Linked DNA regions of Neurospora crassa OR74A. The protein of the gene in region 3 purifies or fractionates together with the protein of the main gene of each other region. This does not show direct contact. Links are inferred from orthologs where the notes say so. Each region holds a gene or a part of one and is shown on either strand. Other genes may lie near its edges.

Region 1 (4,345 bases), on a different chromosome or scaffold from region 3:
GGGCGATGACATTGTTCCGGAAGTCGAGGAGGGCTTCGTCAACGTGGAAAGCGCGGATGCCGGCGGTGCTGCAAGCAGTGAAGCGGATCTGTGGTCCCGGAACTCACCGCTCGCAGTTGATCACGTCGCTGGTGGTTCCTTTGAGTCGGCAATGCAGCTGCTCAACCGCCAGGTTGGCGCTGTCAACTTTGCTCCGCTCAAGCCTCGCTTCTTGGAGGTTTACCAGGCATCCAAGACTTATCTCCCCGCCGCGGCTAGCCTGGACCCTCTCGTCAACTACGTCCGCAGGAATCCCGAGGAGACGGATCCCAGGAAGGTTCTCCCTATCATCCCCAGGGACCTCGAGTACCTTGCTTCTAATGACCTGCAGCGCGGTTATGACGCGATGAGGGCGAACAAGCTCGAGGATGGTGTCAAGATCTTTAAGGGCATTCTGCACTCCGTCCTTGTCAACGCTGTAGGCAGTGATGGGGAGGTGGCTGAGGCCAAGAAGCTCATCGCTTCAGCCTGCGAGTACTCGGTTGCCATGTCCATTGAGCTGGCCCGCAGGCAACTCGGTTCTCCGGACCAGGTCAACAGCGATCCCTCGCTCCAGAAGCGGAGCTTGGAACTGTCGGCCTACTTCACCATTCCCAAGATCGAGGTTCCCCATCGCCAGCTTGCCTTGCTTAACGCAATGAACCTGGCTGTGCGGAGCAAGAACTACAGCTCTGCCCTTAGCTTCGCTAACAGGATATTGGCCAACGGAGGAGCCACCAAGATCACCGAGAGTGTAAGTGATAACCTACATAACCTTATCCTTTTGCTCCTTTGGTAGAGACACTGACATATTTGAAAATAACAGGCCAAGAGAACCAAGGCGCAATGCGAGCGCAACCCCCATGACGCCGTGGAGATCGAGTTCGATCAGTTTGCCGAGTTTGAGATCTGCGCTGCCAGCTTCACGCCCATCTACAGCGGTACCCCTTACGAGGAGTGCGCATTTGACGGAGCCAAGTACCACACCAAGTACAAGGGCACGGTGTGCACAGTCTGCGAGGTTTGCGAGGTCGGAAAGCACGGTAGTGGCCTGAAGCTGTTTGCTTAAAAGGGGTGGGTTTGTATGCGGTTGGCGCTACACGATGATGGGGGTTTTGATGACAAGTAAAGTAGTAGTTAAAGTACAGTCAAAGTAGGTATAATGATCGCGTTTCTTGCTTTCTTCTGCAGGAAGAACAGGGGAGAAGAGAAAAGGAAAGACAAAACCATTTTGGACGCGCCTGTTGCATAACAATTACTGCCTGCTACCAAGTAAGTTCGTGTGCTATAATCCGAACAGAAAGTCGTGGTCGCATGAATTGTCAGTTAGATAATACCATGCCAGACGCAAGCCGTAATATTATGTATCATGTTTTTGTATACATATAGGCGACACATGGAACACAATGTTAAGTAGTGTATCTGTACGTGGCCTCTGTTCTGCCTATGTAGCTAGATCTCTAAGGACCATCGTTTAAGAACGCTTGCATAAACCAACCCAACCCAACCCATACCACACCGGCCAGCCACTTTGTTGTTTTTCTACTGTTTAGACGATCGTCTCCAACTCCCTAGCATAGCCCAGCGTATTCTCAATGATCAACCGGCTGAAGGGCTTCTCCTGCTCGGCACCGGCCTCCTCCGTCGTCGGCTCAGCAGACGGGAAGTAGATGTGGCCGTCCTTGAGTACCCAGCCGCGGGAGCGGGCGAACTCGACCACTTCGCCCTCGGACTCGAGGAAGAGGAGCGACTTGGTGGAGGAGATGGGAAGCGAGGGGTAGGCGCGCTCGGAGGAGGAGGCGATTTCGGAGCGGATTTGGAAAGTGAGGATCTGTTGACAGTAAGATGCGGTGGTTAGTGATTGATGTGGTACAGATAGTTAATCGTGATATCGTTGCTTGGGGGAGAGCGAGAGAGAAGGACCTAGGGGGAAAAGGTAGAGAAAGCAAGACGCAATAAAAGAAAACCCACGAACCTCGGAAAAAACTCCATACTCCTCACAAGGAACCTCGCCCTTCTTCATTGCCTTCCACACACGATCATAGCTCCCCTCCATCAGCCACCTCTCCAGCTTGATGGGATACCCGAGATATCTATCCGCCTCCAGCTCGCGCGTCGCGCCACCCAGCCTCGTGCTCAGCGCCTCCAGCTCGCTATGGAACTCGGCATACTGTCCCTGCGTCAACAGCAGCAGCAGATACAAGCCCGTGACCTTGTTCTTCTCCTCCCTGTTTGCGTCCGCACCGGCAATCCTGCCACCAGCGGCACCGGTACCGACAGTACTCTCGAGCTCGTAGAACCCTTGGAGCTGGCTGACGTAGCGCAAAAAGGCGTCGGGGTTCTTGGCGCGGATCGAGGCCAGGGCACCTTGCTCGTAGACTTGGCGGGCGAGAGAGAAGAGGGAGGGGTTGGAAGCGGAGCCGGGCGCGGTCGGGGTCAGCGCGTTGAGTTGGAGGAGCAAGAGCTTGGCTTTGGAGAGGAGGGCGGAGGAGTCGGTGTAGGAGAGGGAGGAGGCGGAGGTCTGGAGTTGGGTGAGGATTTGGGTGAGTTGTCGTTCTGCCATGTTGGGCGGTTGTGGTGTCTGGTTGTGGTGTTGTGGTGGTGATAATCTGGGGTTGCCGCACGTCGAGGTTCGTTTGTTGTTTTAGCTTCTAGGTGGTTGTTGAAGCTATCGCGGGCGGCAAGTGGATGTGATGGTTGGGTAAATGCGTCGCGTATGTGTATTCTGATTCCGAGTGGATATTGTTGTGGTACTAAATAGACCGGCGATGGTTTATGGCTTGTCGACGGGATTTTGTTGATAGTTATGGCTTGTCATGGGAAACGAGGCAGTGGATGTAGGTACGTAGTTTGGTGTCGAGGCTGAAGGTTGGATGCTCGCTGTCTTGGGGGCGTCACGTTCCCACCGCCAAACGCCAGACCCTCGTATCCACCGCCAAACGCCAGACCCTCTTTGCACCCCCATCATCTGGCTAGCTGTCGAGTCGCTGGCGAGCCTGGTAGATAGTCAAAATCAATTAATTCTATTAACAACGAAGCTATTTATACTTGTGCGCCCGTAATTACCTGCTGTAATTTATTATATTTTGTACTACTACTAAGAAGACCGACCCCCGGGTTGCCGCTACCGCCGCCGCCGTCGTAGCGTTCGGTAGGAAGTATTATATTAGTTAGGCGGTGGATATTGACCGGGATTGTAAAGCTGTTAACGATTTATAACTTCTATTATCCTCTCTTATAAGGAAGAACCCTCTATAGTAATGTAAAAAGAGTTATAAAGTAGCGGACTTTAAGTCCGAGCTGGAGGAAGTAAGGCTTCCTACTGTTAATTCGAAGGGTAAAAGTAAGGCTATTACCCCCTCCGTCGAACCTATTCCTACTCTAAAGAAGGTTATTCTTAAGATTGTAAAGAAGGTTGCCCTTGTTGTTCCTACTTCTAAGCTAACTTCTAAGGCTGCTCTTATCCTAAAGAAGCTGCCTTCTAAGAAGAATATTGTTGCGCCTAAGCTGTTTAGCTCCTGTAAGATTATATTAAAGACCCTAACGCCGACTTCGAAATATAGTCTAAGGATTATTCTATTTAAGTTTAAGCGCCCTCCCTTAAAGACGATTAAAATTTTTAATATTTATTTTAGGATTAGTTTGGATGATGGATAAGGGTAGGAGGATGAGTAAGAGTAAGAGTTTGTAGAGGATAATAATAAGGAGGATGAGTAAGAATAAGAATTTATAGAGGATAATAATAAGGAAGATAAAGAGGAGGATAAAGAGGAGGATAAGGAGGAGGATAAAAAGGAGGGGGATAATATAGGGGATTTATTTATAAATATAATAATTAATATAATTAAAAATAATAAGGATAAAGAGATACGAATATCTTCCGTTTACCGGCCTACATTAGTATAGAAGGTAAAGCGGTTATTCTACTAAGATTGTCTATTTTTATTTTTATTGCTTATTAATTCGTTTATTAAAGTGTCTAATATTCTATTTCGGGCAACCCCTATAGTCCCTTTTATTATAAAATTATTTTTAGTAACAGTACCCGCTATTACGAAGCTACTTCGGGTAGTAATAGTAATTGTAAGAAAATCTTAAATAATTTATATAATCTCCGCTATTATTGAGCCCCCTCCTTAAAAAATATTTGCCGGTCCTAATTTAAATTCGTCCTTAAATTATTCTTATAATAACTTTATTCTTATTAATATTATAATAATCGCGAGCGTTATATATATTATTAGATTACTTAAAATTAAGCCGCTTCTATTTGCGAATTGAATTACTATAATTAATATTAATATTATATAGAATAAGTATAATTATA
Region 2 (4,317 bases), on a different chromosome or scaffold from region 3:
CCATCTCCAACATTCCTCTGCTCGACGAGCCACCTATCCAGATACACAAACCCGCACCCGGGCCCGGGTCCAAACCTCAACCCAAAGCCGCCGATGTACCACCAGCAACAGAAGAAACAGAAACGACAATCAGGAGGAAACAACTACTCCAGATCCTCAAAGAGGAAGGTGACGAAGGGAAGAAAGAAGAAGAAGAAGATGAAGATGATGATGATGATGACGTAACCATCAGGAACAAGAAGAACATGAACAAGATAAAGATTCCTGCTGGAGGTCAAGCGAATCCCCTTAAGCTGGTACCGCCTGAATACCGACATTTGATCATCACCCTACATGTCCTCTTTCCGGGGGTGGTGTTGCCAGGGTTGGAGGTTTTGGAGCGGGGGTTGGTTGAACGGGTCATTTTGAGGAGGTGTGCTGCTGGGGAGGGGGTAGCGGCAGCGCTAGTGAAAGAGAAGAAGAAGAAGGAGGAGGAGGAGGAGGAGGAAGAGGAGGAAGGGAGGCAGAAGGAGCAGATGAAAGAAGAGAATATGAATATGGATGTGGATGTGGTCATGGAAGAAGGGGACGACGACAACAAGAAGAACGACGACGACGACGACGACGACGACGACGACGACGACGACGGGGATGTAACAAGTCCGCCGCCGGCGGCTGAGGATGAGACCAAGGATGGTGGAAAGGCTAAAAAGAAAAACCACCACCACAAGTCACTACTGGTGGAGGAGGAGTCCACGACAGAAGCAAAAGTCGAACATCATCCCCGGCCACGGCCACCTCCAGAGTTCTATCTGGTACGCTCTTCCCAGTTCCTCAACGTCCACCCGAAGCGGAAACGAAAGTATCCAAGTAGCAATCTCTCCGGGCTGTATGGAGACGCAGCAGACACCGAGGGTATCCCATCAGGTGGTGGCGGCGGCGAAGCAGACCGAGAGCGAGACTACCGAATACAGCGGTACATGGTTAGCCTGGAGGCATGGAACTGTACCTGCGCTGCGTTTGCGTTTGCGTGTGTCTCGGAGGCAGAAGCAGGAGATGATGCAAAAGAAACAGGAGGAGAAGAGCTACAAGAAAAGAGAGAAAGAGACAACAAAGGAAGTGCAGGCTGGACCTTTGGCGGGATGACCCTCTTCAATGTCGGAGATCACTCGAGCGTACCGCCCGTTTGCAAACACCTGCTGGCCTGTCTGTTGGCTGATAAGTGGACGAGGGCGTTGGGGAGGTATGTGACAGAGCGGATGGTGAGTAGAGAGGAAATGGCCGGCATTGTTGCTGATGTATAGTAAGTCTAGAGTAGAGGGTCTGTGATAGACAGGTAGTTTTTCTGTTACTGGCGAACCGCAGTCAACAAACCAACTTGTTAGTAAAATAGTATTATTAACAATCGCCCAAGATCCCATCCTTGACCTTGAGCAGCCCTCTTTCTATGTGTGAAAGTGTCTCTCTTATGTTTGATTCCGTACACAAACGTGATTCATGCTGATTTGATTGATTTCGTATCATCTACGGCCGGGTCCGTTGCGCCCCGTCATCCACCCCGTTGCTCGCCTTCCTGTTCCCTCTTTCACTTCGTCACGTCTCGCTTATTTCTTCTTCTCTTTCGGACTGTTCTCCTTCTCCTTGCTTTCACCATTTGCCGCCGCCGGGCTACCCTCCTTCTTGTCGGCGCCCTCCTTTTTCTCGCCGTTTTCTCCCTCCTTCTTCTTGGCGTCGTTCTCCTCCTGCTGCTGCCTGTTCTGGATCTTGTTCTCGATCAGGTCGTGGAACGCAGTGATGGCGCGGATCAGACTGCTGAGGTAGATGGCCATGAGCTGGTCGTTGGTCTTGATGCTCATGGCGTGGTTGAGCTCGCTGTCGGCGTTGGTTCCAGTAGCGCCTGGACCGGACTTGGGCGTCGAGAGGTTGGGGAGCAAGTTGAAGACGTCCTGGAGGTTGCCGAGGATGGCGTGGTTTACGGGCAGCTGGCCGTCAAGGACCTTTTGGAGATATGCTTGGATGTCGCGGAGGCGGTGGTGGAGGCCTTGCAGCGAGCGCATCTGGTTGGTGATGCGAGTGGATAGTGTGCCGACGGCTACGTCACGGATGTCGCGAAGGAGGTGCTCGACGCCGATTTCCTCGGCCTCTTCGGCCTCGATGATGGAGGGAGTGTGGACAAAAGTCTTGGATGTAGTGGTGCCGTCCTGTGGTAGTCACACACAAGTATAGTTAGCAGCTGTAACTTGGACGAGGCTGAGTAGGAACAAGTGGAAACGCGACGGCGTTTCTAAAAGACATACATCCTTGATCTCGTCAACGGCAAAATAGGCATCTGTAGGAACGCCCGTCTCCTTGGGCTGGACATCGACAATAACCAGAAGCGGGTTGGGAGTGTAGCGCTTGAACAGCTCGTTGATGTCGAGATCGGAAGCCCGTAGCTTGGGGCCGGAATGGTACCAGCCTATTAGCTTCTCGCGCGCATTGACCTTCTTGAACATGTCGTTCATGGACTCGACGTAGTTGTGGTCAAGGAACCAGACTGAGGGGTCCTTGTCGTCCTCCTCGAAGGGAACTGCATCACCAGAGTTAGCCGAATATTCACCTGGGCGCGGGGCAACCAGGCAAGCTTCCGCAGCAGAGACTACGCACCCGCGAAACTGTTGGACACGCGAACATTCTTTCCATCATTCTGGCCTAATAGCACGCCGACGACACGCTTGCTCTTGGACTTGTTGGCTTGGGTACGGTTGTAGTGGTCGACAACTGAGAGCAGAACCAGCGGCGCAACCGAGACGCTGCGGTTCACCAGGGAGAGCGTTTCCGCAGTAGTGGCGGGCATGGCGAGAGCTGGATTCGAGGCGTCGTCGTCGTCGTTGTCGTCGTCGTCGTCGGAGGCGTGATGGCTGGTGTGTTTGGTGGGCGTGGCGGGAGGTCGGGTGGTATTTCGTGGGGTAGAAGAAGGAAGGCGGGCTGGAGGGTATGATGGATGTTTTGGTCGTCGATGTACGTATAGCAAGCAAGTATCCCGCGTCAGTTGTTAGTGGCCTCGAAGCTCCAACTGCTGTAGTTGCAGTGGTCTGGTCTCGCCGTCGTCACTGGCTAGCTGCCTCACTTGCTGGAAGGTGAGTACCCAATCAGGTTAGCGCCTAGTACCTTCCACTTGAACTTGAGTTGGGCGGTGGGGCCTCAGCCTTCTGTCCTGTGCCACTGCCGCGGTGACATAACAAAGGGCTTATCTAATCAGTAGCCGGTACGAATACTAGAGGTACTAGGTACGCAGTCTGTACCCTCCGCCTGAACTTACAGGGGCTTTTATAGCGACCTTCCTCCTGAGGAAGTTGAGACCGCAGAAAGGGGGGTCTCTTTATGCGCTGGAAGACTCCTTGGCGCGTGTCATGACACCCTTTTGGTCGTTGCGCCTCTGACAGAGACCTAGGATCGGCATAAAGTCGAGGGATCCTCCCGCCTTTTAATTCGAACGAACCCATCCGTACACCTATCCATCCGTCGTCTGCCCAACAACGTGACGCCATACTTTATACTTACCTCTACCCGTCCGGCCCAACATAACCTCAAAGAAAGAAAAATAACCAAAATCTATCTCAAACATGAAGTTCTCCGGTCTCATTCTCGGCGCCCTTGCCCTCGTCTCCGGCGCCATTGCCGTTGACATCCAGAAGTCGGTCATCATCACCTACAAGGAGAACACTCCCGACTCGGTGATTCAGCAGGACAAGAAGGCCATTCTCGATGACGGTGGCGTCATTACCCACGAGTACACCCTTATGAAGTATGCTTTCGGACACCGTCATGTTGGTTCGGGTGTTCTTGCTAACCCTTTTATCCAGGGGCTTCTCTGCCAAGGTTAACGCAAAGACACTCGAGTCGGTTTCCGCCTCCAGCGAGAGCTATGCCACTATCGAGGAGGACAAGGTCGTCAGCACGTTGTAAGCGGCCAGCTGATTGTTTGGCGACACCTGGGACGAGCGCAGACAACAAAAGAAAATTAACCATTCGAGTCTACACAGCGACATCTGAGGTACGACGGTGTCAGAGAGAAAGAGAGACCGAAAGAGAGTGTGTTGGAAATGATACCCAGGTGCAACTGTACTGGGCAAAGTTGTTGCCTTTTACCGACTGTAAGTCATGGTCTTGGCGTTTTTGGAAATGGATTGATGGAGATGGACTGTCATGATATCAACATCTGACGGACGGGCTCAATGTCCCAACGTTTGGCAAGCATCTTTACGTTCAATAGATTATGTGTTTATCAACATCATGGTCATGAAGCGTCGAGGTTTGGGTCTCAGGAACTCAAGAACCTGGTACTGTCATCATACG
Region 3 (4,133 bases):
AGACCTTGTGCGATACGGACCATGAACAAAGACTCCTGATCTCTGTGATAGTAGCTAGCCAGCTGACGGAGCAGCTGGGCAAGTCTAGCGTTGTTCGTACCGGCACCCAGGAGACCCATAGCAAAAATGGCGTTGATGGCCACTTCATTGTCATTGTCGTGGCTGTACCGTGACAGAGTGTCGTAAACCTTCATTTGAGGGTTGCTGGGGCTGATAAGACCCATAGCCAGCGGCACCGCTCGTCGGATGTTAGCTTCGCCGTAGTGCATAAGGTGACCAAAATGGCGGAGAACCATTTCCTGTCCAACATCTTCGCCCATGGCAATCAAGCCAATACCCAGAACGGCATAGGCCTGAAGCAACTCCTCGCCCTTCTTCTCCTCTCCATCCTCAATGTGCTCGTTGCAAATGTGAAGGAGCTCCTGAATCTTGAGGACGGCACCGGTGCCAGCCCAGGCGCAAATCTCAGCAAGAACAGCAGTTGGCTTCGCCATAGGGTGCTCAACCGCCTTCAACGTCTCAAGAATAACGTCCACCTGTTCCTGGCGACCAAAATAGAGGAGACCCAAGCCAAGCGCAAGGAACCTGGACCATTTGTCATTGAGGCGGCTTCCACTTTCTTCGTCCAACAAGGTAGTCACGATGGCCTCGCTGACTTCGGAATTGGAGGAGCCGACAAAGATCATACCGCAGGCCAGGGCAGCCATAGCCGACACCTGCATGCTCTCCTCAGGGTCGCTGATAATGTTGACCAAGAACGAGAGAAGCTCCTCCTTGCAGGACCCTGCGTATGCCAGTCCGAGACCCATAATGGTAGCTACGCGGATGAGCGGGTTCTTGTGCGCAAGCTTGTCGGGATCAGCCAACAGGGCCATCGCGGGCTCGGAGTCCGTCCTAACGTTAGTATTCATGATACCGATCGCGAGGTATGCGCCAGCTTGGATTTGCTCCTCCTCGAGATAAGTATACTTGTCGACGTGGTCAAGACCGTTCTCGACGTCCCAAAGGAGCAGGGTTCCCAGCGACGCCACTGTAGACATCATACCCTCATCCTTGGTCTTCCACACCCAGCTGTCCTTGTCTTTACCAACGAGCATCATCTTGTCACTCCCAAAGCCGGCATTGACAAAAGCGTTGACGAAGCCGGCGGCAAGATTGTGTCGGGCAGAATCAAAGTTGGTCATACCAGCAACACGGCTGCTTTCGAGGTGGCTCTTGTAAATATCCTCAGTCGTTTTTGGCTCCAAGATGTTGAGTTCCTTCCCGAGCGACTTGAAATACTCCGACAGCTTCTGGTTGGAAAGGCACTCGTAGATCTTTTCGTCGTCATCATTGCTCCTTTCAAACTCCAATGGAATGCCCTGGCGCGCGATAAGGAAAGCGAGCTGCTTGCGAAGCGCAGGATCCTCGTCCGCCGCCTCGAAATCTTTCTCGATGAGTCCAAGATCGTTGAGTCTAATCGCAAGCACCATGGCTTGGGTGTGCTGGTTGTATTTCTTGTAGATGCTGTGCGCCACGCGAAGGAACGTCTCGTTGTCAGGATAGGTTAGGAGGTTGACCATGGAGACCATGTACAGGCAGACTCTCGAATAGGTGTTCTCGTCGAGAAACTTGGGAAGCTCCTCGATGATCTCGAGCTCACTCATCAGATCGACGGCATCGGCTTCAGCGTTGCTCTTGAGGAAGAGCGGCACCAGAACCAGGGCAAGATCGACCAGCTCTTGAGTCGGCTCATCATTGGCTATGCGCTTGGCGTAGACCTCGCCAATCTCGAGGGCGAGATGGCGAACGTACTCATGACCCCACGAGCCAATGTCCTGTGTTGGGGAAAGAAGTCTGTATTTCAGAGTATCCTGGCGGTCCTCGTCCGAGTATGTCATACCGATCACCGATAGAACATCTGCGAGAGATGACTTATCATCGCCAGCGGGCCACTCGTCGTAGAGTTTCGTCATGGTTTCATAATGCGGGCGCAGGAACTTGAGCGGCTTCGGTACCGCCGTCATGGAGGATGTGGATGTCTTGATAGAGTTCTTCATGGCCTCGAGGGCCGGCTTGTAGAGGGTCGCATCGGATTCCTGAAGACATTGTACTGTTAGAGAAGCCGGTCTTCAGCCTGTATCACGTCATTGCGAAGCACCAACCGTTAGCCGCTCAACGAGCATCTCAAGCTCGCTCTTGAGCTGCTGATCCTCTTCACTGAGTTCCTCGGAAGCTAACGCAAAGCGCTGTCAGCAGAAGCCCGGCGCCGATACCTCAAGTCGGTCGGAGTGGCCGAGAAACCCACCATTCTGTTCCTCCTCCTTCTTTCCGTTTGCGGGGGTCTTTCCATCGACATCTTGGTGCTTCTTCTCGTCATCGACGGCCTTTCCCTTGCCCTTATCGGCCGTCTTGGACAGGTCGCTTTCTTGCGCCATGATTACTGGCCGTGATGGTTGTAGGTGGGAGGATTCGCGGAGCCGATGGGTCCAGTTGGAGGGGAAACCAAGGTCGGTTGGGCTGGCCGGGGTAGGTGGACGCGGCGGTGGCGTTCGCTGCTGCAAGAAATGTTCAAGTTTTGTCACCGAGTTTGCTTGAGCGACAGGAACTTGAGCTCCAGTCGTGAGCAGAATGTCAAAATCAAAAGTGGATGAGCTGGCTGCGGTTGTTTGGAGGTTGTTATGTTGTTCAGGTGACGGTTTTGGAGGTTGGAGCTTTTGCAGGTTCGCCCAGAAGCACCTCAGTTGCTGAAAGCCAGCAAAGGTCAGTGGCAGTTACGGTACTAACGCCAGGGAGCTCCGATGGTGGTTACGCGACTCGCTTGCCGCCTGAAGCTCCCCCGTCTGGCTGAGAACGCCCCTGCGATCCAATGCTGCCCGCCTCAAGTGGGTCTGGAAGCCTCGGTGGGGACGAGGCGTCATCAGAGCCTGGAAGATACAAATTCCGCTCCCCCCAAGCTTCTGATAAGATAAGCTACTGGCCTGGACCTGGCGCTTGACCGGGCAGGCACAGCTCAGCGAATGGAGCCCACGGCCAGCCCTATCTTATCGGGAAGATGTTATCGCAACCGTGCATTTGGAATTTGGGGGACGCCCACTTTCCATTCTGGACATCAGCTTTGCGCTTCACCCACCTTGACTTTGACTTTGACGAGAGCGTCGTAGACAGCAACCTAATAGCTCTCTTGGATCAATACAACATCAGAAAATCTCTCACAGCAATTAGGCCGACAATCACCTGAGGGGAAAAAACAAAAAACATCCAAAAAGAAACACACAATCATGTTTTTGGACACCAGAGTTTTACGCCATCTCACGGCAGAAGACTGGAGAGTCTTGACTGCCGTTGAGATGGGCAGCAAGAACCACGAGCTCGTCCCGACCCCTCTGATCGAGAGAATTGCCCGTCTCAAGGGCGGTGCCAGTGGTGTTCACAAGAGCATAGCGACCCTTGCCAAGTCTGGCCTCATCGGACGCATGAAGGAGGCCAAGTACGACGGCTACCGACTGACCTACGGCGGTCTTGACTATCTGGCCCTACACACCCACTCCTCGAAAGATGTCGTCTACAGCGTTGGCAGTCGTGTGGGTGTTGGCAAGGAATCCGACATCATGATCGTAGCCGACAAGACCGGCAAGCAGAAGATTCTCAAGATCCATCGCCTAGGCCGCATTTCCTTCCGTACCGTCAAGTCCAACCGCGACTACTTGCGCAACCGGCAAGGCGGCTCATGGATGTATCTCTCGCGGCTTGCGGCCATGAAGGAATATGCCTTCATGCAGGCTCTCCAAGAAGAAGGCTTTCCCGTTCCCGAACCGATTTCCCAGTCCCGACACACTATCGTCATGAGCCTGGTCGAGTCCCTACCACTTAGACAGGTCTCCTCGGTTCCAGACCCCGCGAGCCTCTACGCTGAGCTTATCGACCTCATCCTTCGATTGGCCAAGCACGGGCTCATCCATGGTGATTTCAACGAGTTCAACATTTTGATCAAAGAGGAGCGGACCACCAAGTACACGATCGAGGACGGCGAGGAGAAGGAGACGGAGACGGTAACCCTTGTCCCAGTCATTATCGACTTCCCACAAATGGTGTCTATGGACCACGTAAACGCCGAGATGTACTTTGACCGCGATGTCGAATGCATCAAGAGG

The links. The genes of interacting proteins can lie anywhere in the genome.
Region 1: the proteins of rpn-1 (region 3) and rpn-12 purify together in Saccharomyces cerevisiae (affinity purification with mass spectrometry; 6 studies listed by BioGRID, with this or other methods). This does not show direct contact. The link is inferred for Neurospora crassa OR74A from reciprocal best matches to the Saccharomyces cerevisiae genes RPN1 and RPN12.
Region 2: the proteins of rpn-1 (region 3) and rpn-8 purify together in Saccharomyces cerevisiae (affinity purification with mass spectrometry; 6 studies listed by BioGRID, with this or other methods). This does not show direct contact. The link is inferred for Neurospora crassa OR74A from reciprocal best matches to the Saccharomyces cerevisiae genes RPN1 and RPN8.

The regions. Positions count from the first base shown.
Region 1 is NC_026507.1:2,809,622-2,813,966, reverse strand, and holds rpn-12 (26S proteasome non-ATPase regulatory subunit 8), read right to left. Parts: upstream 2,937-4,345; 5' UTR 2,582-2,936; coding exon 1,994-2,581; intron 1,850-1,993; coding exon 1,568-1,849; 3' UTR 1,253-1,567; downstream 1-1,252. Other genes in the region: NCU10066 (coatomer alpha subunit), read left to right, coding at 1-772, 845-1,087. UniProt on the Saccharomyces cerevisiae protein: Acts as a regulatory subunit of the 26S proteasome which is involved in the ATP-dependent degradation of ubiquitinated proteins. Necessary for activation of the CDC28 kinase.
Region 2 is NC_026502.1:3,116,809-3,121,125, reverse strand, and holds rpn-8 (26S proteasome regulatory subunit rpn-8), read right to left. Parts: upstream 3,085-4,317; 5' UTR 2,816-3,084; coding exon 2,626-2,815; intron 2,549-2,625; coding exon 2,277-2,548; intron 2,181-2,276; coding exon 1,584-2,180; 3' UTR 1,284-1,583; downstream 1-1,283. Other genes in the region: NCU16568 (hypothetical protein), read left to right, coding at 1-1,283; NCU01548 (hypothetical protein), read left to right, coding at 3,585-3,766, 3,825-3,923, 4,005-4,014. UniProt on the Saccharomyces cerevisiae protein: Acts as a regulatory subunit of the 26S proteasome which is involved in the ATP-dependent degradation of ubiquitinated proteins.
Region 3 is NC_026504.1:2,086,568-2,090,700, reverse strand, and holds the start of rpn-1 (26S proteasome regulatory subunit rpn1), read right to left. Parts: upstream 2,801-4,133; 5' UTR 2,418-2,800; coding exon 2,288-2,417; intron 2,216-2,287; coding exon 2,145-2,215; intron 2,079-2,144; coding exon 1-2,078. Other genes in the region: rbg-40 (serine/threonine-protein kinase RIO2), read left to right, coding at 3,261-4,133.